2 linked regions of the Bombyx mori genome follow. The protein of the gene in region 1 interacts with the protein of each later gene in a biochemical or structural test. Links are inferred from orthologs where the notes say so. Each region holds a gene or a part of one and is shown in the gene's direction. Other genes may lie near its edges.

Region 1 (3,763 bases):
CACACTTACTAGAGGATTCTAGGCTAATGATTGCACACGATTGCTATATGGGCTAGAGACGCCTTTGTACAAAATATTATTAAATCTATACCTATAATAAAAATACTCTGTTGGTAATTCGTCGTATTCAATCAAGCAAGGAGTCAAGCAATCTACAGGTAGCCATTTTTTCACTTTTGGTGGATTTAGCTGTTCCTAATACGGCACTCCCACCATAGATATTTTCCTTTGGAGTGCAATGTTGACGTCGATGGCACAGGTTGGCCAGGCTTGATGTACGGTATATTTTTCTGGGAATTATAATAGTACGTACAACAAAAATGGATATACCATTTTTTAATATTTATATTTCAGTTGGTGATGACAATCTTCGAAATCAATTTAAGACTCGGTATTACCAAAAATTTTGTTATTCGTAGCATGCCAATAGCCCATTTAAATAAAAATGACAAAGTCTTAATATACAATTTACATCAACATAATATTTATGAGAAACTGAATTTGGCAAAATGGTTGCTATAAAAACTAAATACCGCTCGCGTTCAAACCCTAAATCCAATTGTAATTACTAACATAGATCCAAACACTGATGAAGCAATTTAAAAATCGCAGCCTCATACATCTCATTAGACGGCAATTTTATTGATTTGTTATTGACTAATATGGGGGAATAATGGGAATAAATAATGCATGGTCATCCGACCCCAAATTAGGATTCCCTGTTGATGGGTACCTGAGACTAATATACATGCGTAAATACATTTTAATAAACAACAAGACAAAGAGCAATCAAACCTGTCAACACACAAATGTTTGCCCGATGTGAGAATCGGACCCACGACCCTCGGCGCAGCAAACAGGGGCTCTAACCACCGAGTGCTTTATAAAAAGAATTTTCTTAAAATTGTAAATAAAACTAATGTGTGTTAGAAATAATCATGTTTGTATTGATGAAAACGAAAGATGCGCAACATATCGTATTACTGGTGGTAGGACCTCTTGTGAGTCCGCACGGGTCGGTACCACCACCCTGCCTATTTCTGCCGTGAAGTAGTAATGCGTTTCGATTTGAAGGGTGGGGCAGCCGTTGTAACTATACTGAGACCTTAGAACTTATATCTCAAGGTGTGTGGCGCATTTACGTTGTAAATGTCTATGGGCTCTAGTAACCACTTAACACCAGGTGGGCTGTGAACTCGTCCACACATCTAGGCAATAAAAAATAAAAAATTGTGGATGTTTGTGTAGGGGTGGTAGCCAAATATTTTGTCTAACGAAGGGGTCATTGTCGAAAAAAGTTTGCGCACCACTAATCTAAATATATCAGGCGTGCAGGGTTAGTAGAAGGTTATTGAAAATATATTAAGTGTATAATCTATGGTTATTGATTTTTTTCAAATAAATGGCCGCATAAAATACCATAAAATTGTTTTGTTTTTTTATTTATCCCGCAATGATTCTGACGCTAATAAAAAGTCTAACTAGTACTCTTAATTATGTATGAAAGTACTACATTCAAGGCTAGAAAAATATTGACTACTTACTTTTAAATTCACATGTTCTGTACAACATAACGGTGAGTGGGCTAAAATTTGACACTAGGCCTTAAAGGCCTTAATGACTAAAGTTAATAGTCTAATTAAATTTAGTTCAAAACGACATGTAACATTAATGAGCAATGTTGCTGTCGCCCAATTTGACTAATGGGGTCGAATTCACAATTGCAATAGAGACACCCCCTATCCAGACCACTTAAATGGGAACGCAGGTTGCCTAGGAAAAATAATATTGACCGTGAAGCTTCATGTGGTAGTATTTTCCTTACAAGGCTTAAAAATACAACGAATACCAACACTTTAAGGTTCTCAAGTTAGGAAATGGGGAACAGCTAGGTTAGATAAGTGTATAATATTAAATCCATCAAATTCTTAATAGACATACCATATACAGATATGTACTTTCAAATGTAATCAAAGAATCGTTTGTTTTGGTTTTTTTACATTACATTTCGATATCATGATAATAAACTAAAGACCTAAATGGAAATGTTGACCTACAATGTACATTTTAAGATAATAATTAGATTAAATTCTACCTAAAATCATCAGTAACCGTTTGTTTAAGTATTGTTCGCAGCTGTAGGCATTTTACTGAAATAATGATATTTTAAAATACGTAGGTATGTATCAAAAGCTTAAAATAAAGTGCAATTTGCAAAAAGTAACCTGTAAACTGAAATGCGCTCGTCATTCTTTTGTTGATTCCAAAATTTGCTGATTTGTGATAAAATTTATTGTATTTATTAGGTAAATATGTATGTTTGTGATTCTTCTAAGTACATTTATAATTTTGAGAATACGTCACAAAGAAACCGTTTCTGAGAATCAATGCTGATTTGGGTTGAGCAATAAAGTACGAGTGCCTTCTAGAAAAGTACAGCTATTTCTCTTTATCTTTGAAATTAAAGAGAAACAACTATATAGCTCGGTAAACTTCGTAAAGCTTCGGATGTTGTTCGGTTCGTTTCGGTTTATTGATTTGCTGCGGAATAGCCACGTATAAAAGGTTTGTCCTCGTTTCGCTGACGCATTAAAAGACCAGCGGATTGCAACGTGATAGACAAGCTTATAGTTAAAATAAGGTGTTTTTCTACTCCATTTTGTTTTATATAAAAAACAAAGCTCATAATTGTTCGACATACAACTGACAAAGCGAAATTATTGTATCTTCTAGGTGAGTACATTAATTTTCAAGTACATACATATAATTTTCATCAGGAGAACGCCATGTTTGTCTTTAACAAATTAAAATTTTTCTTGCTTTATCTTATCGATCCGTGTTTTTCATTTGCTTTTTGCTCAACATTTTGCAGAATATAAGTAATTATTACGTATGTGACGAAATGATGAGTCTAGTTGAAAATGCACAATAATTATGGTTTCATTGTTATGTTCTACAATATTTCAACAATTAAAACGTAATTAGGTCATAGCGTAAGCCTGCTGAGTTTTTCGCCAGATCTTCTCAGCTGGTCGCATATCCAGTGCGTAGGTTCATTCGTGACGCATCTGCCTATGTGCTATCAGGGTACCCTAAAAGGCTCGCTTAGCACTTAATAATCGATCCCCCTGCCAATTCAGCCATCGAGGACGTCCACGCGTCCTGATGGGATTACAAAGCACTCTCCACACCATACCACTCATAATAGCTTCATACAAAATTTAAAAAATATATATACTTACCTATTGAGACCTGAATCGAGAGACACCTACTCTAATTTTTAATAACAAAAATTTGTGTATATATGTATTTACTTGTAATTAAACAGTCATTCTTTTTAGTTTGAAATGTGGTGCAGCTGTATTAGATGGCAATATTCACATTGTAATGTTTATGCGACCCTGTAACCACTTTGATACTTGGTGATCTCATCTGCCCATCTGCAACAATAAACCTCTATTTAAAAAGGAGATAAAATAAAATTCATAAATTTTTCATTGTTTACAGATCATCATGCAAATCTTTGTGAAGACTCTAACTGGCAAGACCATTACATTAGAAGTGGAGCCTTCTGACACAATTGAGAATGTGAAGGCGAAGATCCAAGACAAAGAAGGAATTCCTCCTGATCAACAGCGTCTCATCTTTGCTGGCAAGCAGCTGGAAGACGGACGCACCTTGTCAGACTACAACATTCAAAAAGAATCCACACTCCATCTTGTACTGCGTCTTCGTGGAGGCATGCAGATCTTCGTGAAAACTC
Region 2 (2,537 bases), on another chromosome or scaffold:
GCCTCTGGACATACGAATGTGCACTCAATCGATATACGATCAGAGATTGTTATCGCGTGTACGAATTCGTTCGCAATTTGTCGAATTTTTATTTATTATTACGCTTGTCGAAGGAAATTCGACCATATTCACTAATAACTAAAAACATAGTTTCATTAAATATCATTATAAAATAATTATATTATTATTATGTACTCTTAAGGCTGCAGTACTTACTGGTCGATCGGTAATACTACAACCCGCGGACATACGAATGTGCACTCAATCGATATACGATCAGATATTGTTATCGCGTGTACGCCTTCATTCGCATTTTGTTCTATCATATATATATACAGGGACGTCTTAAATCAGGCTGGGGCCCTTGAGCGCACAAGAATTTGAGGCCCTTTTGGAAAGTAAAAAAAGCGAATTATAATAACATTTTTTTATTGAGTATGACCATTTATTATAGGTAATCAAATACGGTATGATATAATGTGTCATTAATGATATTAGAATGCTGCTGGTTTTTTGGTTTTACGATCACGATAACGGAAATCGTTATCTTGATCGCTAGATGGTGTACTCAGTAAATTAGGTAGGATGCGTTCGGAAATATTATTAATTAGTACAGTTGAAATAGGCGCAGTCATCGATATAATGGCGTAATATATGCCTTATAAATACATTCTGATAAGATTACTGATTTGTGAAAAAAGTGTAATGTGCCCAACAAAAATGTTTTGAGAATAAATGTGTGAGAGAAATTGTCGGTCCTTCGGGGCCCCCTGAGAATGGGGGCCCTGGGCACGGGCCCCGTGTGCCCTTATTGTAAAGACGGTATTGTATATATATATATATAGATAGAATGTTAATCGAATTTTTATTTGTTGAACGAAATTCGACCGTATCCACCGAAGATATGGTTTTATTTTATATATAATAAAACGATAAATCGGAAATCGTTTTCGCCGTCAAACTTTTCTAAAGAGCTCTAGTGTGCTGCTCCTACTCACTCTTCCTTTTATTTTTATTGCTTAGATAGGTGGACGAACTCACAGCCCACCTGGTGTTAGGTGGGTACCGGAGTCCATAGACATCTACAAAGCAAATGTCGTCACCGACCTTGAGATATGAGTTCTAAAGTCTCAGTATAGTTACAACGGCTGCCCCACCCTTCGAACCGAAACGCATTACTGCTTCGCGGCAGAAATAGGCGGGTTGGTGGTACCTACCTTTGCGGCCTCACAAGAGGTCCTACCACCAATAATTACATAAATTATAATTTTGGGGGTTTTTATTTTTTACACGATGTTATTCCTTCACCGTGGAAGTCAATCGTGAACATTTGTTGAGTACGTATTTCATTAGAAAAATTTGAACCCACCTGAGATTCGAACACCGGCGCATCGCTCAACACGAATGCAACGCAGGTCTTATCCGTTAGGCCACGACGACTTCACCTACCTACCCGTGCGGACTCACAAGAGGTCCTACCACCGGTAAGGTGTTAAGTACAATGCTGTTCCAGTGGGTTTTCCTGCCGGAAGCCAATGAGAGAAGTAAACTGGTACTGCCGGGGCGGGGCCGCGTGGACTACCGCGCTGCCTGCTTCTGCCACAGGGAACTGCTCACCATCGGCTACGTCTGCTCGGTTTGCTTGAGTGGTGAGTTTACTACTCTCAGGCACTTTGAAAAGGCGGCACGACATGAGAACCCTCTTGTCGTGGCCGCTGGAAACTACATACCCGATCCTGTAGACCAGTAGTCGGAGAACTTTATAATTATTACCCAAAAATATTTTTGTGTAAGTTGATGTTGCCCCATGACGAAGAACAAAAAATAAAGAAATCTCTTCTTTTTGGCATCTTTCATATTATAGACCTATAATAATTTTGAAAAAATATATTATTTTTTCATTTCGTTTCATCTAGTTTGAAATCACAACGATTCTAAAGAAGTTTCACTTCAATATATACTTTTTACTCACAAAAGTTTCATTTTTACCCCCCACAATTTCATTTTACCCCATTTGGGGTAATTTACCCCGGTTCCCCGACCGCTGCTGTAGACCGAATGGTAAACAGTCGACGTCGCCCAAAACACGTCATCACGGATCCTCCCGATCCATTAACGGTGCTTTTAGGTACCACAAGCGCCGGTCACCGTCCTCGTCGAACCAGTCGCTTGCGACGAAGGGCTCGACAAGCGAATTAACCCATAGACACAGCCCGCAGTTTCTCGCCGGATCTTCCATTGGGTCGCGTTTCCAATCCGGTGGTAGATTCTGTGAAGCACTGCTCTTGCTAGGGTCAGTGTTAGCATCACTCCGGTTTGAGCCCCGTGAGCTCACCTACTACTAGTTAAGGTTACGCTGAAATAGCCTCTCAAGGTTATCAGCTTAGGTAGGGAAAAAAACTCTCAGGTCACGAGGCCATGGCTTCAGTTGACGGTAGTTTAAAATCGCTCAATAATAATAACTGGAAACAAATAACGCACAGTCACACTGCCCCAATTTAAGATCCTCTGTGTGCTGGGTACCAGAGGCTAATAAA

Evidence for each region.
Region 2: the proteins of Cdk7 (region 1) and general transcription factor IIH subunit 3 form a complex in vitro, tested with the Homo sapiens proteins (2 studies listed by BioGRID). The link is inferred for Bombyx mori from reciprocal best matches to the Homo sapiens genes CDK7 and GTF2H3.

The regions. Positions count from the first base shown.
Region 1 is NC_085127.1:9,211,381-9,215,143, forward strand, and holds the start of Cdk7 (cyclin dependent kinase 7), read left to right. Parts: upstream 1-1,428; 5' UTR 1,429-1,576; intron 1,577-1,852; exon of another isoform or gene 1,853-2,179; intron 2,180-2,195; exon of another isoform or gene 2,196-2,392; intron 2,393-2,610; exon of another isoform or gene 2,611-2,733; intron 2,734-3,293; exon of another isoform or gene 3,294-3,440; intron 3,441-3,513; coding exon of another isoform or gene 3,514-3,763. UniProt on the Homo sapiens protein: Serine/threonine kinase involved in cell cycle control and in RNA polymerase II-mediated RNA transcription. Cyclin-dependent kinases (CDKs) are activated by the binding to a cyclin and mediate the progression through the cell cycle.
Region 2 is NC_085132.1:5,293,186-5,295,722, forward strand, and holds the end of general transcription factor IIH subunit 3, read left to right. Parts: intron 1-1,513; coding exon 1,514-1,750; 3' UTR 1,751-1,971; downstream 1,972-2,537. UniProt on the Homo sapiens protein: Component of the general transcription and DNA repair factor IIH (TFIIH) core complex, which is involved in general and transcription-coupled nucleotide excision repair (NER) of damaged DNA and, when complexed to CAK, in RNA transcription by RNA polymerase II.